2 linked regions of the Oryctolagus cuniculus genome follow. The protein of the gene in region 1 purifies or fractionates together with the protein of each later gene. This does not show direct contact. Links are inferred from orthologs where the notes say so. Each region holds a gene or a part of one and is shown on either strand. Other genes may lie near its edges. The genes, in order: POLR3GL and CRCP.

The links.
Region 2: the proteins of POLR3GL (region 1) and CRCP purify together in Homo sapiens (co-immunoprecipitation; 3 studies listed by BioGRID and IntAct, counting the BioPlex papers as one, with this or other methods). This does not show direct contact. The link is inferred for Oryctolagus cuniculus from reciprocal best matches to the Homo sapiens genes POLR3GL and CRCP.

What each region holds. Positions count from the first base shown.
Region 1 is NC_091438.1:48,910,139-48,921,813, forward strand, and holds the end of POLR3GL (DNA-directed RNA polymerase III subunit RPC7-like), read right to left. Parts: intron 10,692-11,675; 5' UTR 10,634-10,691; intron 8,600-10,633; 5' UTR 8,558-8,599; coding exon 8,432-8,557; intron 8,093-8,431; coding exon 7,963-8,092; intron 7,198-7,962; coding exon 7,129-7,197; intron 6,830-7,128; coding exon 6,773-6,829; intron 6,556-6,772; coding exon 6,482-6,555; intron 6,354-6,481; coding exon 6,243-6,353; intron 5,983-6,242; coding exon 5,896-5,982; 3' UTR 5,513-5,895; downstream 1-5,512. UniProt on the Homo sapiens protein: DNA-dependent RNA polymerase catalyzes the transcription of DNA into RNA using the four ribonucleoside triphosphates as substrates. Specific peripheric component of RNA polymerase III which synthesizes small RNAs, such as 5S rRNA and tRNAs.
Region 2 is NC_091450.1:66,189,055-66,201,878, forward strand, and holds the start of CRCP (DNA-directed RNA polymerase III subunit RPC9), read left to right. Parts: upstream 1-5,420; 5' UTR 5,421-5,660; coding exon 5,661-5,668; intron 5,669-12,824. UniProt on the Homo sapiens protein: DNA-dependent RNA polymerase catalyzes the transcription of DNA into RNA using the four ribonucleoside triphosphates as substrates.

The sequences.
Region 1 (11,675 bases):
TAGTCCCAGACTCCAAAGTCATGGGGATAGCAGCCCTCCCGGCCTGGATCAGGATCGGATCTGAGGAATCCTGGATTCTTTCCTCTCCAGTCCTGCAGGCAGGGTTGGATCAGCGTCTTCCCACTGACTCCCACTAGGGTTGCCTTGGGAGGAGGAGGACCCTCTCTTCTCTCTAGGATACGAAGAGGCAAATTAAGGCCTGCTGGATTTAGGCAAAGTCTTGTCTTTCCTTTTTTTTTTTTTTTTTTAAGATTTATTTTAGGGGCCGGCGCCATGGCTCACTTGGCTAATCCTCCACCTGTGGCTCTGGATTCCTATATGGGCACTAGTTCTAGTCCCAGTTGCTCCTCTTCCAGTCCAGCTCTCTGCTGTGGCCTAGGAGGGCAGTGGAGGATGGCCCAAGTGCTTGGGCCCCTGCGCCCGCATGGGAGACCAGGAGGAAGAACCTGGCTTCTGGCTGTAGCGGCCATTTAGGGGGTGAACCAATGGAAGGAAGACCTTTCTCTCTCTCTCACTGTCTCTAGCTGTCAAACAAACAAACAACAACAACAAAAGATTTATTTTATTTATTTGAAAGAGCAAGAGCAAGAACGAGAGAGAGAGAGAGAGAGACCATCCACTGGTTCACTCCTCAATTGGCTGCAGTGGCTGGAGCTGTGCCGATCTGAAGCCAGGAGCCAAGAACTTCTTCCAGGTCTCCCATGCAGGCACAGGGGCCCAAGGACTTGGGCTGTCTGCTACTGCTTTCCTAGACCATAGCAGAAAGCTGGATTGGAAGTGGAGCAGTCGGGACTAGAACCGGTGTCCATATAGGATGCCAGCACTGCGGGCCAGGGTTTCAACCCGCTGTGCCACAGCGCCAGCTCCCAAAGTCTTTTCTGAGGCAATGCCAGGAAACTAGAACTCCTTATTTTCAGCTCTGTGGTCCCAAATGACCTTGGAGAAAAGGCAGACTTCAGCTGGGGAAAGGTCAGTAGAGTAGAAGTCTCCCCTGGTCTGGCCAAATTAACTAACTGAGCAATTCTGTCTAGACAATTTCTCTTTTCTGTCTTCTGGCCAAATGTGACATACAAGGGCCCTTAAAAAATTTCATGGAAAAATGGAATTAAAATATGTTGTTTTTGGTGCAAAATATTTTGAAATCCATGCATATTTTTGTTGTTTTTTTTTTTTAAATATTCATTTGAAAGGCAGAGTTACAGAAAGAGAAGGAGAGACAGAGAGATCTTCCATACACTGGCTCACTCCACAAATGGCACAATGGCTGGTGTTCTGCCAGGCCAAAGCCAGGAGCCAGGAGCCTCCTCTGGGTCTCCATGTGGGTGCAGGGTGATGCTTTCTCAGGCGCATTAGCAGACAGCTGGATTGGAAGTGGAGCAACCGAGACATGAGCCAGGCCCATATGGGATGCTGGCATCGCAGGCAGCAGTTTAGCCCACTATGCCACAATGCTGGCTCCAGCATAGATTTTAAATAATATGCATTTCCTTTTTTTAAAAAAGATTTATTTATTTGAAAGAGTTATAGATAGAGGGAAAGACAGAGACAGAGGTCTTCCATCCACTGGTTTACTCCCCAGATGGCCGCAATGGCCGGAGCTGCACCAGTCTGAAACCAGGAGCCAGGAGCTTCCTCTGGGTCTCCCACACAGGTGCAGGGGCCCAAGGACTTGGGCCATCCTCCACCACTTTCCCAGACTATAGCAGAGAGCTGGATTGGAAGAGGAGCAGCCGGGACTAGAACCATCATCCATATGGAATGCTGGCGCTTCAGGCCAGGGCTTTAACCCGCTGCGCCACAGCACCAGCCCCAATAATGTGCACTTTTATGATCTTTTTAAACATACTTCATATGTATACATTTCAAAATTTTTTCAAAAAAATATTTTAAATTCCATTTTCCATGAACCTTTTAAAGTACCCTCACATGAAAGGAGATGGCAGCTCCCGCCCTCCTAACCTCTTCCTCGGCCACATACCTATTGGTGGCCTGCTTGATTTGAGTTCTAGCTGAAGAACCTTCAAAATCAAACCAAGATGGAGTGACCTAAGCCAATACCATTAAAAACAAGAAGTTACCTTTGCCCCAAATAAAATTAAAGTTTAAAAATTATAGCCCTAAACTTTTTCCCCCAAAGCTAAAATTAGGTGCAGCTATAAAAATAAGGGACCCTATGCTTAGCTAGCTGCGACACTTGTGCCTGGCTGTGCTAAGACCTAACCCAGTTTGTATGCCTCCTAATACTCAAATAACGGTGTGGGAAGTGGGACGCCGCTCTCCCACCAGGGGAACAAAGGGAGCGAGATGTCATCCCCCTCAGGGTGAACAAGATGGCGCTGGCAGGGAAAGGAACTACTAAAAAAGTAAACAACAAAATGGCGACGAGTTGCATGCCTCCCATGTGTTCTCGTAGCTGATTGGATAGAGGATGCATGCCCTTCACATGATCAGCTCACGGATTGGACTGCTGTGTGCATGGCCTCCCATGTGATCCCGTAGCTGATTGGATAGAAGATGCATTCCCTTTACATGATCAGCTCGCGGATTGGACTGCTGTGTGCATGGACTCTATAGTGCTTTTGATTGGTCGCTGCGGGTATATAAACCGTGTGGCTTTGTGCTGGGGGCACTCTCTGGACTCCCGAGTTCAGGAGGCCCATCTGCGCAGATGACAAATAAATCCTCTTGCTTTTGCATCAGCTGGTCTGGAGTCTGAGTCTCTGGGGTGTGCCTCTCGACGTATTAGCATCCTCACTCCAAGGGTCTAACATAGCTTGCAGATGGTGACCTTGAACTCTGCTTCGGGGTTTGTCTCCTTTCTTGCTAATTGACAAAATTGCTGATCTTCCTGCTACTTGGCTGAAGCAGTTCTTGGAAAGGACTGGCTAGCTGCCTGAGGTATCTTTAGCCTCCTGGGCTGAAAATAGGGTGGGGAAATCCAGTGGATGGCAGGAGGTCAGCAAAAGTGGATGTGTCCTGCCTTTGTTCTCAGGAGCATCTGGACTTTTGTGGGTAGATCTGGACTTTTGTGGGTAGACTGGTATCACCCTGCGGTGTGGGAGCTAGAAGTCCTCCTAGCGGCCATCTGTCCAAATTCACATTTCACACATGAGGAAGCTGATGCATGCAGACTCACAGGACTTTCCCAAAGGTACAAAGCGACCGAGCAGTGAGGCTGGATCATAAGGGGTGCTTTGTCCAACTGAGGTAGCAGTTTTTCCACTTGGCTTGGTTCCTAACGAGTCTACACCTACAAGCCCCGCTTCCTCTCTTTCGAAGCTCAAACTGCAATAGAAATCAAGGAAAGGAACCACGGATGCTTAGTCATCCTTTCCCCTTGACCTCTGACCTTCTATTTTTTTTTTGCTTTCCACTCCCAGTAGAAATTACATGTTGCGTCCAGGGCTCCCAGTAAGGCCGCCCTCAAACCGCTTGAGTCCTAGAGCGTATGTACAGACAGACCCCACGCTCAAGCTGTCTGCCCAGAGTGAGAGGGGACCAGGAGGCTAAGGAAGGATCACAGGGCAGGGAAGGGCGGAATTCTTGCCGTAGACCTGATCCTGCTTGGGGCCAGCGCAGCCCAGGCTGTGGGTTTGAGAGTGATCTGTTGTTCAGTGTAAACAGGCTGCAGCAGGCTGGCGGCACAAAGGTGAGCAGGTACCGTGTGGGTGCTCTGTTCAGTTTGTAAGCAGGCCCCAGGCCCTGACCTCTCTGGTAGTCCCCTGGAGAGAACGGTAGCCCTGACCTGACCTGGGCCCCAGGCTTTAGCCCTCGTCTGCCTGAAAGCACCTTCAGTAAGTTGGGGAAAGGTCCATGGAGACAGCCTAGCTCATAACTGGAACTACTCCAGGATCTGGGGAAGCTGCTGGGTCCCGTGTCTCAGGCTTTGTCCAGCAAAGTCATCTGCCAGAGAGGCAGGAGGCCAGACAGGGCCAAGTCCAAGAATGGCTGCGCTTTCCCACACCTTGTCTTTGAGGAGCACAACAGATCCCAAGTGGCCACGCCGACCTTTGTCCTCCTTTTCCAGTTGCACATGCAGGGCAGTGGGAGTGGGAATGTGGCCGCAGCCCTCCTGTGCTGTCTCTCAGCCAGAACTTTTGTTCTCAGTCTTTTAAGTTCCCAGAGTGGAATTAAATGGGATTTAGTGGGTGGCTGTGCCCCAAACACAGACCAAGGTCCAACTGACCAGGTTAGGACTGGTGTGTGTGTGTAAAAAGAAAGGCAAAAGTTAAATTGTCAGAGTCTTTGACTTAAGTGTTTTGTCGGTCTCTCCCTAACTACAACCACAGGCTGAAATATAATTATGGGAAACCCCACTTCGGTCCACTGGCCCCTCCCAACCTCCACTCACACAATACCTTAGACAGCCAGAAAAGGAAACACGTCAATCATCACAAATTGCGCAATAACTCTGGAATGTTCTGTTTCTATTCTTGTTTCCTTCTCTGCTTTCTTGGCTACTTCTATCCTAGCACCTACCAACACATCCAAATTGGGCTTTTAACGTGCTTTAAGTGGAGCCTCAGCCCCTCTTCATTCTCTGCAATGGGGACAGATCGTCAGTCTCTATCATTTGACGCTGTAGGGATTCAGTCAGGCTGTCTAAGGCACTTAGAGAATTTCTCGAAGGTTCTCCTACATTCTGACTTGCAAATGCTCAGAGAGTTACTATGATAGCATCCCAGATATCTGTGCATGTCTCCTGATTCAGTTCCTATTCTGGACACGCAGCTCGCCCGTGACTGTGGCATGGCAAGTGCCTGCAACCAATCAGCTCACCTAGGGCTTCCTCGGAAGCCAATCAGAGCCTGGGGAAGTGACCTCACCCAAGGGAAACTGTGTGGGCGCAGCTCTATGAGTGTCCCTAAGTCACTCTCCGCCTCCCCACCCATCTTACTTCCTGTAAAGCAACACCGCCTACTCCCCTCCCCCCAGAAGGGAGTGAGAAAGGCTAACTAAATTCCACAAAGGGAAGAAGCAAAAGAGAAACTGCACACACCAGCTTCTGCAGGTGCAGAGTAGGACAGGGGGCCCCCTCTGCCAGACATGCCTTTCCAAGTGGGGCCTCCAGGCTGGCAGAGGAGTGAGTGTGCCCAGGAGTCAGTGCCTCTCCCCTCCTCCCTCCCTGCACCTGGCTTTCTTGACTCTCTCCATAAAAATAGCTGGTACCATTCTTTGTAAATAAGGACAAAGTGAAGGTCAGGTGTAGGAAAGAGAGGGCCTGTGACCTTGTGAACAGGTGTGAACAGAGGCGATCCCAGCCCCACAGCCTGGGAAGCCGAGGCTCAGCAGCTGGCAGGGCTGCTGGCGGCAGGGCTGTTTTTCTCGGCAGCTCGCTCTGCAGAGCCCTGCAGATGAGTTCCCTGACAGCCCAGATTGCATGTATCCTGTCATGGCGGAGAGGAGGAAGGGACAAAGACAGCAGGCCGTGATCCTGTGTTCACATGAGACTCAGATCAGCATCCCCGTCATTCCCCTAGCCTCTCCCACCAGGCCTCATCCAGGACAGGGAAACAGATAAAAGGCCTTTATTTAAAAATATAAAACTGGCTCCCACCCCAGTGACCTCTGGCAAGAGTAGTAAAATGGGCTGGGGGCGTATGTGTGGCTGTCTCAGCTCCAACAAGCTGGGTTCCTCTGTCCATTCTTCTTACTGGTTTCAAACAGTGAGGACGTGGGTCCTCTTCCCTTTCCCCAGGAGAAGAGGTGACACAAAAGTAGGAAGAGGAGAAAGAGAGAAGAGACTGCTGTCCGGCACCGCTGTCCACTTGTGGCTCCGGGGACCAAACACAGGTGATCTGGACACTGACCAAATGAGTTCTCATGCACAAAACCAAATAGGGACAGCTACTGCCTGCATCCCACATGAAGGACGATGTGAGTCCAGGCCCTTCTTCAGTATATAGCCTCATCCATATTGTCATCACTGTCACCCCCAAAATCCTCTCCATTGTCAAAATATGACATGATGTAATCAGTTTCCTGAAATGAAAAAAAAAAAAAAAGTACAATCAGGCATCATCTTGGCATTCTTGCTGCCTGGGTCCCAGGCCCCTTCCCTCCAAACTCCCACCACTCCAAGCCTGCACAGCCCTTCCACCTGCAGCTGTTCTGAGAAGGGCCTGGGGGCACAGGAAGAGGAGGGAAGCCTCTACTCCAGAGGCAGTTAGGTGTCTCGCAGAACACCTTGGCATAAAGAGCTGAGACCCCAGAGCAGGAGGAGAGGAGGGGGTCCCCTTCACCTCCTCATGTTCTTCTTCATCATACTCCTCCTCTTCTTCCTCTTCCTTCTCTTCTTCTTCTTTATCCTCCTCTTCCTCCGAGGTCACTTCTTCTTCCTTCTTCTCCAGGGTCTCGCGTGAAGATGAACAGGAAGAGACTCAGATTCAGCTCTCAGAAGGGAAAACTGAGGCACACACAGGCCAAGGGAGAGGGACTGGGTGAGGGTCCCAGGAGGTCTCTCGGCGCACTTCCACCTCACCTCCAGTTTCTGTATTGTTTCCTCCTTATCTTCTGCGGTCTTAGGCGGCCTCTTAGGGAGTAGAATGGGGGCCCCTGGTGGAGGGATCAAAAAGTGAACCATCAGATAGCAATTTTCCTGGCCGGCTGCCTAGCCTGCCCTCCTGCAGGGAACATGGCACTCTGCTGCCCTCAAGTGGCTACCACAGCATCTGGCAACAGCGCTTGATTGGGTGGGAACTGGGGAAGCAGGGGAAAGGCCTCCTTGGGCTGGCGGAGGAAACTTCTCCCAGCTCTGTCCAGATACACTCACGCTCCTTCTGTAGCTTCCGCACTCGTATCTTCAGCTCCCGGGGTAGACGTCGCCAGTCTGGGAACAGCAGGCATGCACACATTAACGGGACCCTGCCTGGGGTCACCGGTGAACGGTGACTGACTTTCAAGGACAGGAAGGAAAGGGTTGGGTCCAAGGTGTTCAGAACAAAACTGGTCGGGACGCCTCCCCGAGGAGTGGGCGTTATTAATGGGTTTCCCGGGTAGACCCTGAGGGCGTTTTGGAGCACAGCCAAGGCTCTGGTTTACAATTCTGGATGGACAGAGGGAGGAGGGTGGCTTGAGATATCGCAAGTGTTTGAACGAAAGGCAGTGGATGAAGGACCCAGCACCTACCAGGGTTCCAATCAATGGCATTGTCAATCGGCCCCGACATCTGATATTTGTCCGAGTAACGTTCCACATCTGAGGGGTCAAGGGTCAAAGTTGTATTCCTTCAGAGCCCCTAGAACGGGGCTGTTCCTGAGGGCCCAGCCCTCTCAATACTCAGGAATCAGCAGTCCTCTCACCCCAAACCCAGAGCTCAGGGTGTCAGCCCAAGTGAAGACCGCATCACTCTTCCAGTCTGCAGTTTCACCACCCCAAATGATGACGATTTGTTTTCTCCCTTAGCTCAAGGCCATGGTTATATTGAGAAGTGTGCTGCAGTGGAGCAGACACTAGGGGACAAGAAACCAGCATTTTTGTCAGTTCTTTACCCTTTATTAATGGGGTTAACTTAAGGCCTTTCATCCAGGAAAGCACCAGTTGTCAATGCACTGAAGTACTCTATGTCCCTCCCAGCTGATAAATATCCACTGTCCCAGGTCTCACAATGGCACTCACTGGGCTCCCTGGCCTCGCTTTAACCCACCAGGCAAGGGTGAGTACTTCACTCCGAGACCCGGCACCAGCCTCCTTCTGACTGGTCAGTGTCTCTAATAACCAGATTGTTAAATTTCTTAATGTGTCTCTCCTTTGTACGGGTGAAATGGGATCTTAATATTTAATTTCCCCCTGTCCCAAGGCTTCTGTGAGACCCCAAAACAAACCACAAATACTATAAAGATACAGAAGGAATTATAGTCTTGGTTAGTGCATTTCTTGTGCGTCTCCAGCCCCCATGGAGCTGAGCAGGGGACATCACTGCTCAGTAGGCACCCCAAACGTGATGCTGGCATTGCAACTGACCTCTCTTGGGGACAGCTGGCCGGATGAAGTAGGGGAGCTGCCTCATGGCCCCTCGTAGCTCCTGTTTCAGTGCCAGGACATATTCCCCTTCCTCTCCTGAGGGCAGAGGCACTGGACGGAACTCCAAGGGCTAAGGAGGCAGGGGCAGCGGTCAGCTGAGGGAGAAAGCGGTGCAGTACAAACCTAGGAAGGCCTCTGCCCCTGTTTTAATCCAAAGCCCCTGCTACACAGAGGGCCAGAATAGGATGGGGGAGTGACACAGCACTGTGAAATCTGGCAATCTAGGGGTGTGAGAAGTAAGGGAAGATACCTCTTTGTCTGGAAAACATCACTGGGGAACTGGGAGTATAGGGTAAGGGAGGGGCATGAGGAGGATGGTGTTTTGATAGGCAGGGGTCCAGGAATCCAGGGTCATATAGGATCAGCCTGGGGCATGTGGAAATCTTTGGGAGAGAGGGGAGATACTCACCGGGAAGAGCGGAGAAGGCTGCAAGGTAGGTGGGGGCAAAGCATCCCCCTTCCCAATGCCCACGGCCTCCATGTTGAAGGTCAACTGACCCCGGCCACGACCCCGGCCCCCACCCCGGCTGGCCATGGCAGAGGGGGCCTGGATACTCCGAGATCTCGTGAGAAAAACCTGATAGAGACAAAAACAAAGAGAAAAAAAAAAGTACAGGAGAATGGACAGAGGGCCAAGAAGATAGAAGACACTCAACCTTTTCTCCCTTGGACTTGAAAATCAACATCATTCAACAGATTATGAGGGAGAAGACATACTGTCAGGCCAGGTATTTATGAAAACATCAACATGGATAAGACACAGTCCCAACTGGCCAGATAATTACAATATGGTGTCATTACAGTATAATGAAGTGGGCGATTAGACCCTTGAACAAAATTTTTCTACGTTACTAAGAAAATTACTATCTGCATTTTTATATATAAGCTTTGAATTTTTTCTCTCCCTGCCTTTCCAACCCAACCAAAATCCCAATTCAATCCAATGTAACGACTTCAGCAAAACATTTATGAAACAAGACAGCATGCAGGCACTGGGCGGGGGACACAGGGAGGGGCTACCAACCTCACTGTCAACCAGGAGAAAATAAAAACTACTCCTTTTGAGCACCACTTAGAAGCACAGATTCTTAAAATTGGAAGCATCCTTGGAGGTCTGCTAGTCCAAACCCTTCGCAGGGTAAAACTACTCTAATTGTTCATTATGCCACTTCTGGGGGCATTTTCCCATGGACAAGGTGTCCATTCTCTCCCAAGGCAGTCCACTCTACTGTGGTCAACTATGATGAACCCTAAGTTCCTTCTTCTGCTGAACTGAACTCTGTCTCCTGCTGTCGGTGCTGAGGAGTCAGGCAGAGACAGCTAGGATGGGTGATAAAATCCCCAAATGAAAATGAAACCTGAAAGAAGTGACATCCCAGCAGCAAACAGTACCCAGATCTAATACCATTTTCCTAGGAAAAGAACCAGGGCTCTTTGGAAAAGAGCTGATTCCAGGACTGGGCAGAAAACACACAAGAAGAGTCTGGAGCATTTTAAGGTGCCAAAATGTAAGGGTTCACTCAAAGCCACAACAGGGGCCAGTGCCGTGGTGCGGTGAGTAAAACCTAAACGGACATTGGTTCAAGTCCCAGCTGCTCCACATCTTATCTAGCTCTTGCTGTGGCCTGGGAAAGCAGTAGAAGATGGCTCAAGCCCTTGTGGTAAGACCCAGAGGAAGCTCCTGGCCCCTGGCTTCAGATCGGTGCAGCTCTGGCCATTGTGGCCAATTGGGGAGTGAACTAGCCAATGGAAGACCTCTCTCTCTCTCTCTCTGCCTCTCCTTTTCTCTCTGTGTAACTCTGACTTTCAAATAAATAAATCTTACACACACACACAAAAGCCATATGGGGCTATGTCAAAAGGCCTCAGGGCCAGAACTGAAACAGTTCCTAATGGCCAAATAGTGATGTAGATACTCCACCCTAAAACAGCAAGAGCATAACCCTCACTCTTTACATGTGGACTGTGTATGAGAAATTTCATCTGACGCAGTTTTGGAAAGCTGAGGGCAAGTTACAGAACGGCTTTGTAGTGGAAAGACCAGACAAACAGTACTTCAGCCAGGTGACCAAGATCAACATCAATAGCCATGAGCCATATTGATAGTGTATGCCCTTAATATGATATGTGGCGGCCGGCGCCGCGGCTCACTAGGCTAATCCTCCGCCTTGCGGTGCTGGCACACCGGGTTCTAGTCCCAGTGGGGGCACCGGATTCTGTCCTGGTTGCCCCTCTTCCAGGCCACTCTGTGCTGTGGCCCAGGAGTGCAGTGGAGGATGGCCCAAGTGCTTGGGCCCTGCACCCCATGGGAGACCAGGATAAGTACCTGGCTCCTGCCTTTGGATCAGTGCGGTGCGCCGGCCGCAGCACGCCAGCCATGGCGGCCATTGGAGGGTGAACCAACGGCAAAGGAAGACCTTTCTCTCTCTCTTTCTCTCTCACTGTCCACTCTGCCTGTCAAAAAAAATAAATATGATATGTGGCACGGCACGTGGCCTCACTCATCATCCTCCCCCAGACCCATGTCCCCTGTCTAGTCATGAGAAAAGTATCAGACAGACTCCAGTGGAAGGGCAGTGCTCATCGTATCTGACTACTACTCCCTACCTACCTAGAAACTATCACAGCCAAGAGCAGCTTAAATATCTTGTGGCATCCTGGATGGAATCCTGGTGCAAAAAAAAAAAAGAGTATTAGGTTAAAAAACAAATAAGTCTGAGTCCAGCATGGATTTGTTACTAATAATGTAACAATTTGGTTCATTATTTGTAACAAAGGTACTATAAGAATATATGATATTTTTAATTGGGAAAACAAGGCTCACACTGTGGCACAGAGGGTTAAGCTGGTTCTAGTCCTGGCTCCTCCATTTCCAATCCAGCTCCCTGCTAATGCAGGCAAAGTAGCAGAGGATGGCCCAAGTGCTTGGACCCCTGCCATTCATCTGGGAGACCCAGATGAAGCTCCAGCAGATGGAAGATTGATCTCTCTCTCTCTCTCTCTCTCTCTCACTTCCTGCCTTTCAAATAAATAAATAAATCTTAAAAAAAATTGGGCCGGCACCGTGGCTCACTAGGCTAATCCTCTGCCTTGCGGTGCCGGCACACGGGGTTCTAGTCCTGGTCAGGGTGCCGGATTCTGTCCCGGTTGCCCCTCTTCCAGGCCAGCTCTCTGCTGTGGCCAGGGAAGTGCAGTGGAGGATGACCCAAGTACTTGGGCCCTGCACCCCATGGGAGACCAGGAGAAGCACCTGGCTCCTGCCATTGGATCAGCGCGGTGCGCCAGCTGCAGTGCGTGGGCCACGGTGGCCATTGGAGGGTGTACCAACGGCAAAGGAAGACCTTTCTCTCTGTCTCTCTCTCTCACTGTCCACTCTGCCTGTCAAAAAATAAAATAAAAAAAAATTAAAAAAATAAAGTACTCACATCCCATATCAGAGTACCCAGGTTGGATTCCTGATCTAATTCCTGCTCCTGACTCTAGCTTCCTGCTAATGCAATCCTTGGAAGGTAGCATGTGATGGCTTGAGTAACTGGGTTCCTACCACCCATGCGAGAGACCTGGATTGAGTTCCACACGCCTGACTTCATCCCCTCAGGGTCATCATAGGCATTTGGGAAGTGAACCAGTGGATAGGAGCTCTTTCTCTGTCT
Region 2 (12,824 bases), on another chromosome or scaffold:
CTCTGCACAGCTTCTTCTCCAAGATCACTTGCTGTGCCTGTTTTTTGTTTTCTAAAAGATTTATTTTATTTATTTGAAAGAGTTACAGAGAGAGAGAGAGGAAGAGTCAGGAAGATCATCCATCTTCTGGTCCACTCCCCAAATGGCCACAATGATCAGGGCTGGGCCAGGCCGAAGCCAGGAGCTTCTTCAGGGTCTGCCACATGGGTGCAGGAGTCCAAGGACTTGGGCCATCTTCCACTGCTTTTTGTAGGCCATTAGCAGGGAGCTGGAGTGGAAGTGGAGCAGCCAGGACATGAACTGGCATCCATATGGGATGCCAGGGCTACAGGCCATGGCTTTAACCTGCTGTGCCACAGCGCCATCCCCTGCCTGTGTTTTCTGCAGCAGTTCTTCTTGGAGACTGAACACAACTGAATGCTGCTTCTTTTCTTGGATGTACATCCTTATCATGCCACACCATTTTTGTTTTAAAGATTTATGAGTTTTGGGCTGGTGCTGTGGTGTAGCCAGTAAAGCTGCCACCTGCAGTGCCGGCATCCCATATGTGTGCCGGTTCGAGTCCTGGCTGCTCCACTTCTGACCCAGCTCTCTGCTATAGCCTGGGAAAGCAGTAGAAGATGGCCCAAGTCCTTGGGCCCCTGCACCTGTGTGGAAGACCTGGAGGAGACTACTGGCTCCTGGCTTCAGAACGGCACAACTCTGGCCGTTGCCACCAACTGGGGAGTGAACCAGTGGGTGGAAGACCTCTCTCTCTCTTTCTGCCTCTCCTTCTCTCTCTGTGTAACTCTGACTTTCAAACAAATATGCATTTATTTGAAAGGCAGGGCAACAGGGAGAGAAGGAGAGAAATCGTTGGGGGGCGGGTAGGAGATCCCTTCCATCTGCTGGTTCACTCCCCAAATGGCGCCAACAGCTAGGCCTGGGCCAGGCTGGAGCCTCAGGAGCCAGGAATTTCATCCAAGTCTTCCATGTGGGTGGCAGGGGCTCAAGTACTTGGACCGTCTTCCCCTGCCTTCCCAGTACATTAGCAGGAAGCTGGATGGGAAACAGAGTAGCCAGGACTCAAACCAGCTCTCTGATATGGGTTGCTGGTGGCATCACAAGCAGGTGCCCAACCCTGCTACACCACAATGTCCGCCCCCATGCCACACCCTTTAGTCTGCTCTGCTCTGTCCCAGTCCCATGCCTTTGTTCCCACTGACACTCAGCTTCAAGATCACCACTCTCTCCACAGGCCAGATTCTACCCCCTCTTCAGCGTCTATCTAACATCACCTTGGCCTCTCTCCCAATTTCCCAGGCGGAAGTCCTCTCTTCTGAAACTGCTTTCTCATACCTATCTTTCTCCAACCTCACCTTTCCCGGTCTACCTGGTATTGTTTTATCTGGAAACATGCCTCATTGAGACACTGAACTACAGACTGACTGCTGACTGGATGTTTCTGTTCATTGCTGCTTTTCCAGATGATTAGAAACAGGACTGCAAGAACTTAATATTTAATGCAGCTTGTTACGGATACTATTCTAATCCCCATCAATCATTTCACCACAGAAACAAGGTCGGGGAGATATTTCACATTTTTAACAATTGGTTTGGGGCTGGCACTGTGGCACAGTGGGTAAAGCCACTGACTGCAGTGCTGGCAAGGGCGCTGGTTTGAGTCCCGGCTACTCCACTTCTGATCCAGCTCTCTGCTGCAGCCTGGAAAAGGAGCGGAAGATGACCCAAGTGCTTGGGCCCCTGCACCCACACGGGAGACCCGGAAGAAGCTCCTGGCTCCCGACTTTGGATGAGCCCAGCTCTAGCCATTGAGGCCAAATGGGGAGTGAACCAGCAGATGGAAGACCCCTCTCTGCCTCTGCCTTTTCTTCTCTCTCTGTGTAACTCTGTGTTTCAAATAAATAAATCTTTAAAAATAAAATAAAGTAAATCACACCTGAGCCATCACAGACACCAGCTTCTCTTACACACCTTGGCCTTGTGTGCTCCTCCCCCAATCCTGCCTGAAGATCCTGGCTTTGGGACGCTTCTCCACCTCATTAGTCATTCCCTCTTCTGCTCCATGGCGTCTAAACACAGCATATTGGAGTTAATTATGTCTAGAGTTGGTTTCCCAGCTAGACTGTGGGCTAGCCAGCAGAGGGTGTGTATTGTTCACACTTTCATCATCAGCACCCACTGGGCCAGTGCTACGTGTTTGTTGAATGAATAACACAGTGAGCATCTTTAGCACTTTTTTTTTTTTTACACAATCTGTTCTTCTCAAGGGAGGTATGAGGTATGAGGGTGCTCCACATAAATCAAGTCAGTTGTGTGTGGAGTGATATTTATTTATTGAGTTTAAAAGTAAGTTACCTCTGCCTTGCAGTGCCAGCACACTGGGTTCTAGTCCCTGTTGGGGCGCTGGATTCTGTCCCGGTTGCCCCTCTTCCAGGCCAGCTCTCTGCTGTGGCCCGGGAGTGCAGTGGAGGATGGCCCAAGTGCTTGGGCCCTACACCCCATGGGAGACCAGGAAAAGCACCTGGTTCCTGGCTTCAGATCAGCGTGATGCGCCAGCTGCAGTGCGCCTGCTGCGGCGGCCATTGGAGGGTGAACCAACGGCAAAAGGAAGACCTTTCTCTCTGTCTCTCTCTCTCACTGTCCACTCTGCCTGTCAAAAAATAAATAAATAAAGTAAGTTAGATTGGCCGGCACCACGGCTCACTTGGCTAATCCTCCGCCTGTGGCGCCGGCACCCCGGATTCTAGTCACGGTTGGGGCGCCGGATTCTGTCCCAGTTGCCCCTCTTCCAGTCTAGCTCACTGCTGTGGCCCAGGAAGGCAGTGGAGGATGGCCCAAGTGCTCGGGCCCTGCACCCGCATGGGAAACCAGGAGGAAGCACCTGGCTTCTGGCTTCAGATTGGCGCAGCATGCCAGCCGTAGTGGCCATTTTGGGGGTGGACCAATGGAAGGAAGACCTCTCTCTCTCTCTCTCTCTCTCTCTCTCTCTCCCTCCCTCTTTCTCTCTCCGCCTCTTTGTAATTCTGCCTTTCAAATAAATAAATAAATCTTTTTTTTTTTTTTAAAGTAAGTTAGATTATTTGAAAAAAGTATTTCTGGGCCAGCATTGTGGTATACCAGTAAAGCCCCTACCTGTGTCATCGGCATCCTATATGGGTACCGGTTCATGTCTCTGCTGCTCCACTTCAGCTCCTTGCTAATGAGCCTGGGAAAGCAGTGGAAATTGGCACATGGGAGAGCCAGGTAGAGTTGCAGCTTCCTGGCTTTGGCCTGGCCCAGCCCTGGCCATTGTGGCCATTTGGGCAGATGGAAGATCTTTTCCTCTTTGCCTCTCTCTAAAACTATGCCTTTCAAATAAATAAATGTTTTAAGAAAATGCATTTTTCGGAACTGGTGTTGTGTACAGTGGGTTAAGCTGCAGCTTGTGATGCCAGCATCCCATATGGGCACCAGTTAGACTCTAGGCTGCCCTACTTCTGAACTAGCTTCCTACTATTTCACTTGGGTAAGCAGGGGAAGATGGCCTAAGTACCTGGGCCCCTGCCACCCATGTGGGAGACCTGGATGGAGTTCCAGGCTTCTGGCTTTGGCCCAGCCCAGGCCTGGCCACTGTGGCCATTTTGGAGTGAACTAGTGGATGGAAGATCAATCTCTCTGTGTCTCTGTAACTCTGCCTTTCAAAGAAATACATCTTTGAAAAAAGAAAGAAAAAAAAAAAGAAAGTGATGGAGGAGAATGGATCACAGGCTGGCTAACTGCAAAGCTTGCACTGTTAATATCACGGAATAACATAGTGCTTAGCAAAAGCCTTGCAAAAAGAATGAACTTAGTAAATGATAACTGATATGCTGTCAAAATGTATATTTTAAAAAAACAGAAAAGTAGCAACTGACTTACCATCCTGCTGTTGTTCATATTCTGCCATATTGCCTTCCAGTCTTTAAAAAACACTTCAAACATATCAACATATAGAGAAGGCAAAAGACATCAACCTTCCCAGTTGTTTTTAACACATAAATGGCTATACCTCCCAATACCTTTAGGTAATTTTTTCCTATATGATTTTTTTTAGGTCACGCCACATCAACTTGCATCTTTTAAGTAGCCTTTTTTTTTTTTTTTCAAAGATTTTACTGATTTATTTGAGAGGTAGAGTTACAGAGAGGGAGAGACATAGAGAGAGGTCTTCCATTTGCTGGTTCACTTCCCAGATGGCCACAAAGACTGGAGCTGAGCCTATCCAAAGCCAGGAGTTTCTTCAAGGTTTCCTATATCAGTGCGGGGGCCCAAGCACTTGGGCCATCTTCTACTGCTTCCCCAGGCCATAGCAGGGAGCTGGATTGGAAGTGAAGCAGCTGGGACACTGACTGGCACCACAGGGAATACTGGTGCTGCGGTGGAGGCTGAGCTCACAGTGCCAGCTCCTAAATATCCTATCCTGAAAATGTTTTTATTTTGTAATATTTCAAAGAATACAGAGGAGTATAGCGTTCACTGAGCATACATATATTTATTTTTTAACACTTTTCCATATTCGTTTCATTTAACACTTTTCCATATTCACTTCATTTGTAAATATACTTCATATTTTTTGAAATCAGGGGTGGATATATTAATATAACATGGGATTCATGACAAAGATCATAAAATGAAGAAATAAGGCTGCATTATTGTGTAGGGATATAAATCGTGAAGACAACATTTATAAATATACACCAAATAATATGGCATCCACATTTTTACTATACACACATGCGTATATATTCCACATATGAGCGAAAACATGTATTTGTCTTTCTGTGGCTTGACTTTGCATAATGCTAATTCCTTTCATTTTGTTTCAAATGTCAGTACTCCATGCTTTCTTATGGCTGAGTAATATTCCATTTTGTGTTTATCCACTTTGCATGCCTACATACATGGCTGAAGCATGATCAATTCTCCATTGTTGGGCATTTTGGCTATTTCCAAGCAAAAAAAAATCCCATCCTGCGCATCTTTCCTCAAGAAAGATAATGTACTTTGGGCAAACTCCGAGAAAAGCCCCAGCCCCAGGGCTCAGACACAGCCTGTTCAGGTTAAGGTTATTTATTCTTTTTTTTTAAGATTTATTTATTTGAAAGGCAGAGTTACAGAGAGGGGAAGGCAGAGAAAGAGGTCTTCCATCAGCTGGCTCACTCCCCAAACGGCCACAAGGGCCAGAGCTAGGCCACTCTGAAGCCAGGAGCCAAGAGCTTCATCTGGGTCTCCCTCACGGGTGCGGGGGCCCAAGCACTCGGCCATCTTCCAGTGCTTTCCCAGGCCATAGCAGAGCTGGATCCGAAGAAGAGCACAGCTCCTCTTGGCCCCCGCCCTGGGATTTTTTTAACACTGCAAAGGCCTACAAAAACGACCACGCCTTCGGAAGCTTAACTCGTGAAAACACTTTGCTTAAGTCCCGTCCGCAGACGCTAGACAGCCCGCTCGGCCAGGCGAGCGGCGCCCGGCCGCGAGAACCTCCCGGCTCCACCACGATCCCGGCGTGCAGCGCGGCGATCCCAGCGTGCACCGCGGAGGCCCGCGACCGCCGCGAGTGCTGTGTAGGTTAGGGGAGCTGCGGCGGCGCCGCGGCTGGCTCCTTATCTGCAGGCTGCTGGGGCCGAGGGCGCGAGGACGACATGGAAGTGTAAGCTTTGGGTCTGGGTGCACGGCTGGAGACGGTTAGACCGCTGGGAGCCGAGAGCTGTTAGAGACAGGGTTGAGGGCGCGGCGACTCCGGCTCAGCGGCGACTCCGGCTCAGCGGCGACGGCCGGGTCTTGGGAGTGGAGGACCGAGGAAGACGGGGGTTCTCGCTCTGCCGCGCTGAACCTCCGCTCCCGGTGTCTGGGGCGCCCGGCCCAGTGAGACTCGGTCGGCTGGCTTTCAGTGGGCCTCCTCCCTCCCTCATTCATTTACTGGCCTTTCCTGGGTCCCAGTGGCAGCGCGACCTGGTTTCCGAGCGGGGACTTGGAAAGCATAAAGCCCTTGAGAGATGGCTGCGGGTTGGAACAGAGCTGTGCTTGGGGGTAGGGGGCTCCTGAGAAACCCTCACAAAGAGGTGGCATCTGAGTTTGCTGAGGAGCTATCGGCCCTTTAGGGGAGGGGGCGGGGCTTCTGGGAGAAGGAATTGTATCTGGACTGGATCAGAAGCAGTACGAGGCGGGTGTGTGCACGGTATAAGCAAGGAGTAAAAGTTCCAGCAATTTAACGCCACGTGATCTTTTCCATGTTTCCTCATCGTACCGAGTACAGATAGAAACTTTTGCTTCTACTCTGCATGTGGCTTTTTACATGATTGGTGTAAACTTGTAGGCATGTCTATATTGTGTTTTCTGTGGCACCGATGAAAACATTTTCCTTTAGGTTAAATTTTTGCTTCGTGGTTAGTGATTTATGAACTGGTGGTTTTCAGACCTTTTTTTTTTTTAAAATAAAGAATTATTTATTTATTTGAAAGGCAGAGAGGCGGGGAGAGGGAGGGGAAGGGGGATAGGTGTCTTCCATCCGCTGGTTCACTCCCCAAATGGCTGCAATGGCTGGAGCTGGCCCAATTGGAAACCAGGAGCCAGGAGCTTCTTCTGGGTCTCCCATGTGGTTGCAGGGGCCCAAGGACTTGGGCCATCTTCTACTGCTTTCCCAGGCCATAGCAGAGAGCTGGATCAGAAGTGAAGAAACCGGTACCCATGTGGGATGCCAGCACTGCAGGTGGAAGGTAAACGTTCTAGACACAGTGCTGGTCCCCAGACTTTTTTTTTTTTTTACTTTAACTTCACTATTTACATATAAAACGGAAATGACAGGTACATACTTTTTTTTTTTTTTTGATAGGCAGAGTGGACAGTGAGAGAGAGAGACAGAGAGAAAGGTCTTCCTTTTCCGTTGGTTCACCCCCCAATGGCCGCTGCAGCCGGCGTGCTGCGGCCGGTGCACCGCACTGATCCAAAGCCAGGAACCAGGTGCTTCTCCTGGTCTCCCATGCGGGTGCAGGGCCCAAGGACTTGGGCCATCCTCCGCTGCACTCCCGGGCCACAGCAGGGAGCTGGACAGGAAGAGCACCGACTGGGACAGAATCCGGTACCCCAACCGGGACTAGAACCCGGGGTGCTGGCGCCGCAAGTGGAGGATTAGCCTGCTGAGCCGCGGTGCTGGCCTAGGTACATACTTTTTTTAAAAAAAGATTTATTTATTTACTTGGATGTCAGAGTTACACAGAGAGGAGAGGCAGAGAGAAAGAGAGGTTGTCCATCCACTGGTCCACTCCCCAGTTGGCCGCAACAGCCGGAGCTGTGCCAATCCGAAGACAGGAGCCAGGAGCTTCTTCTGGATCTTGCACACGAGTGCAGGGGCCCAAAGACTTGGGCCTCCTATTGCTTTCCCAGGCCATAGCAGAGAGCTGGATTGGAAGTGGAGTAGCCGGGACTCGAACTGGTGTCCATATGGGATGCCAGCACTGCAGGCGGTGGCTTTACCTGTTATGCCACTGTGTTGGCCCCAGGTCCATATTTTAAGTTATTCAGTTTACTCTGCTGTTGTCTAGTTTACTAAAAGTTGACCCACTAAATTAAGTTTGCAAGCAACCCACTAATGGGGTTTAGCCTGCAACATGAAATCATTCATAAATTAATATAAGCCATCATCATTAATTTTCCCACGTTACCAGAGTATTTCCTATCAGTATACAGGCCAGTTCAACCTATACATTGTATTGGTCAGCTTTTTATGAAATACCTGAGGCAATTAATTTTATAAAGAGAGAAGGATTCTTTAGTTCACAGTCCAAGATGGGGTAGATCTCATTGGTTCAGTGTCTGGTGATGGCGTTCATGTTGGCAGAATCCTCAAATCATATTGCAAGAGACAGGGAATGGGCATGTTTATGTGGTCTCTTTAATAATGGAGGTTGAAATCTAATGACCCAATTTGATCCGTTGCCAAAGGCTCTGCCTTCAAATATCATAACTGGATTAAGTTTCTACTCTCTTAGTGCCATTAACATAAGACTTTGGGCACCAGATATTTAACAGGTGGGCCTTTGGGAGACACTGAGCACTCAAATTAATACCCATAGCGTACATCTTGTAACAATCCCTCGTCCTCACCTATTTCTATTTCACCTATTCTTGCCCACCTATTGCCCAACACTTCTGCTTCCCCTCACAGCAAAACTTCTTGAAAATTGTTATATCTCCTAATTCACTTGGCCTGCTGTTGGACTCATCCTTATTGCAGAAATGGCTCTTGTGAAGATTACTTGAGCCTCTGTCTTATCGAATCCAAAACTGATTTTCTGGCCTCAGCTTTCTTGATCCCTCAGCATCAATTGATAGAGAAATGCTAGAACTCCTGGCCTTGTGTCAGGCTCTCCTGGATTGTCTTCTACAGCAAGGACCTCCCAGTGTCCTTCCCTGGCTGCCCTTCCTCCCTTGTTTGGCATCTAAATGTTTCTTAGTCCTGGGAGGCTTTCTCTCTATTTTCTCTCACTTGGTCATTTTAATCATCTATAACTTGATTGTTCCCTGAAATACATTTCTGATCCCCTTTTCCCATTTTTCCTGTTACTTAAAGCACAAACCTAGCCCCTTTTCCATACCCATAACCATCAGCCAGTCCTGTCATCTCTACATTTCAAACATTTTAAATATAGGGTTACTTTTCACCAGCTCCACTGTTAACTCTAGTCTGTCATCTCTGGTCTGGATTAAGTAAATAGCTGTTTGGCTCTCACTGCTTTGTCTATGTAGCAACCAGAGTGAGCTTAAATATTAATTGGATCGGGTCACCTGCTGTGTAAAACCCTTCATTGGCTTTCCATTGTCCTTGAAGAAAATCTGCACTTCTTACTAGGACCTACAAGACCCTGTATAACCTTGCCTCAGCTGTATCTCTGTCACTGTCATCCCCTTCAAAGTACACAATTTGTCAGGTTGTTCCTCTGACTTTCCAAGCCCATTCCTCCCTTTGGATCTTTGAATTGCTATTCCTTCTCCTTGGTATAACTCTCCTGCCCTGCCCCCTTATCAGATGGAGTGTCTCTTTAAAGATGCCTTTGCTCTTTAGTCAGTCCAAAATCAGTCCCCCCCACCCCCCACCCCGGCTTTTTTTTTCCCTTTCTCATCGCCTTGGTTTACTTTCTGCTTAAATAATTACAAGTTTTGAGGCCGGCGCTGTGGCGCAGCAGGTTAACACCCTTGCCTGAAGTGCTGGCATTCCATATGGATGCCGGTTCGAGACCCGGCTGCTCCACTTCCAATCCAGCTCTATGCTATGGCCTGGGAAAGCAGTAGAAGATGGCCCAAGTCCTTGGGCCCTTGCACCGCGTGGGAGATCCTGGCTTCTGGCTGTTGTGGCCAATTGGGGAGTGAACCATTGGATGGAAGACCTCTCTCTCTCTCTCTCTCTCTGCCTCTCCTCTCTCTGTAACTCTTTCAAATAAATAAATCTTTAAAAAAATTACAAGTGGTTTTTTTTTTTTTTCAGGCAGAGTGGAGAGTGAGAGAGAGAGACAGAGAGAAAGGTCTTCTTTTTCCATTGGTTCATCTCTAATGGCTGCTGCGGCCAGCGCACCGCGCTGATCCAAAGCCAGGAGCCAGGTGCTTCTCCTGGTTTCCCATGTGGGTGCAGGGCCCAAGCACTTGGGCTATCCTCCACTGCACTCCTGGGCCACAGCAGAGAGCTGGACTGGAAGAGGAGCGACCAGGACAGAGTCCGGCGCCCCTACCAGGACTAGAACCTGGTATGCCGGCGCCGCAGGCGGAGGATTAGCCTATTGAGCCACGGTGCTGGCCACAAGTTTTAATAATAGAAGTATTTAGTTGTTTAGTATCATGAAGGCAGGGACCAATATATGTCTACCTAGTGCTTAGCACTATGTCTGGCACACAGTAGGCATTCAAGAAATACTTGTTGAATGAAGTAATATAACAAAACTTTATTAGTTTAATAACTATAAATTAATTAACTAATATCCTAATTTCTGGGCATATAGATTTTCTGATTTCCTAAATGAAACAGTTTGAATCTAGGGTTTTTACTCCTGTAACAACCTGTATGCTTCTCCCAAGGAGTCAGTGACTTACTGAAATCAATCAAGAATTTTGCAGTAGGTGGGCATTGTGGCACAGCAAGTTGAGGCATTGCTTGGGAGTGCCAGCTGCTCAAGTTCCAATTCAGCTTCCTGCTAATGTGCCTAGGAAGGCAGCAGATGATGATGCAAGGATCTGGGCTCTTGCCACCCGCATGGGGAGACCAGGATGGAGTTCCTGGCTCCTGGCTTTGGCCTAGCCCAGCTCTGGCTGTTGCAGACAATTGAGTAAACCAATGAACAGAGGATCTCCTCTTCCTCTCTCTTTCTGTCTCTCCTCCTCTCTGTCACTGTGCCTTTCAAATAAACAAATCTTTAAAAAAACCAATTTTGTAGTTTATGGGAAAAAGAGGTTTTCTGAGGTGGATGTATGATTTAGAAGTGGAGTGGCCCCTGTAGTGGAAAGGTTTGGAGACCTCACTTCTGGTTGCTGCCTGGTCTCCAACATGAGTTGTGACCCCTCTCTGGGCCTTTGACTCTTCAGTAAATACATACTGGGTCTCTATCAGACGCTCCTAGGACCTGTAGCGTGGAGGCTTGAAAGAAACACTCCCTTACATTTTTACTATTTTTTTTTTCAGCTATGGGGTATGTAAAAGTATATAAAGACAGACACCAGATGGTTTTAAAATTTTTTAAAAGATTTATTTATTTATTTGAAAGCTAGAGTTGCAGAGAGGAGGGGGAGAGAGGGCTTCCATCCATTTGTTTACTCCCCATATGGCTGCAACAGCCAGGGCGGGACCAGCCTGAAGTCAGGAACCAGGAGCTTTTTCCAGATCTCCCAGGTGGCTGCAGGGACCCAGGCACTTGGGCCATCTTCTGCTGCTTTTCCAGATACATTAGTAGGGAGCTGGACCAGAAGTGGAGCAGCCAGGACACAAGTGGTGCCCCTATGGGGTGTCTACGTTGCAGGCGGTGGCTTAACCTGCTACACTGCAATGCCTGCCCCCAGAAGTTTTTTGTTGTTGGCTTTTTTTTTTTTTAAGATTTTATTTATTTATTTAAAAGGCAGAGTTACAGAGAGGCAGAGGCAGAGAGAAAGAGAAAAAGTCTTCCATGTGCTGGTTAACTCCCCAGATGGCCACAGTGGCTTAGAGCTGAGCCTATCTGAAGCCAGGAGCTTCTCCAGGTCTCCCATGTAGGTGTAGGGGCCCAAGTACTTGTGCCATCTTCTACTGCTTTCCCAGGCCATAACAGAGCTGGATCAGAAGTGGAGCAGCCAGGACTCAAACTGGTACCCATATGGGATACTGACACAGCAGGTGGCTTTTACCCACTACACCACGGTGCTGCCTTCTCCCCCCCCAAGTTTTTTTTTTTTTTTTTTTAACTTTTATTTAATGAATATAAATTTCCAAAGTACGACTTATGGATTACAATGGCTTCCCCCCCATACCGTCCCTCCCACCCACAACCCTCCCCTTTCCCACTCCCTCTCCCCTTCCATTCACATCAAGATTCATTTTCGATTATCTTAATATACAGAAGATCAGCTTAGTATACATTAAGTAAGGATTTCAACAGTTTGCTCCCACACAGAAACATAAAGTGAAAAATAATAGATGATTTTTTTAAATGATGATGAAATCAGATCAGACCTATTGTCATGTTTAATCCCAGTGAGAGTCAACCCCCCCCAAGTTTTTTAAAAGGAAGAATATTTGTGATTTATTTGCCTTAATGACAGAATTTAAAAAAAATATTTCTTGACCATCTTTTAAAAACTTATTTTTCTCAAGTAAAAAGATACAAAATATCATAGCAAAGTGAAGTATTTCCATACAGATGCCTCTTGACTTACGCAGAAGTTATACCCTGATAAAACCATCTTTAGTTGAAAATGTCATAAATGGAAAATGCACTCAGTATACCTAATGTTCTGTATGGCATAGCTTAACAACACAAAACGTTGAGGTCTATGCTGTGGTGTAGTAGGTTTAGCATCTGCCTGGAGTGTCGGCATCCCATATGGATGCTGGTTCAAGTTGTAGCTGCTCCAGTCGGATCCAGCTCTGTGGTAATGGCCTGCGAAAACCTTGGAAGATAGCCCAAGCGCTTGGGTCCCTGCATCTATGTGGGAGACCTGGAGGAAGCTCCTGGCCACTGGCTTTGGATAGGCCCAGCTCCAGCCTTTGCAGCCATCTGAGCAGTGAACCAGCAGATGGAAGACTTCTCGCTCTGTCTCTCCCTCTCTCTGTGACTCTACCTCTCAAATAAATAAATACACAGGGGAGTATTGGTTGTTTCTTCTTGTGATCTTGTGCCTGACTGAGAGTTACCCCTCGCTGCTCTACAGAGGAAAAGATCTAGCATAGGGAAAGATCAAATTTGAGGTTTGAGGTACGATTTCCTGTGAATATATATTACTTTCACAGCATCATAAAGTCAAAAAAAATCATTAGATTGAACCGCTGTAAGCTGTGAACTGTGTGTGTATATATAAGGTGTTTGCCCATTTTAACCCTTTGAGATAACTTATATACCTGTCTTGTGTTCACTCTTATTTTTGAACTTTAATATACATAGTTAGGAAGATAGCCACTATCCTCTCTACCATCTTTTTGAGATTGTGTCAGGATTTCTTTCATTTTACAGCTGGAAGTACTGAGATTGAAAAAAGTTAGGTAGTATAACAATTCCGTAACGGACCAGAGAAAAGATGCTTGTTTACTAGCTCCCAAGAGAATACTATAGGTTAAATTGCTCTTTGACTGTGTC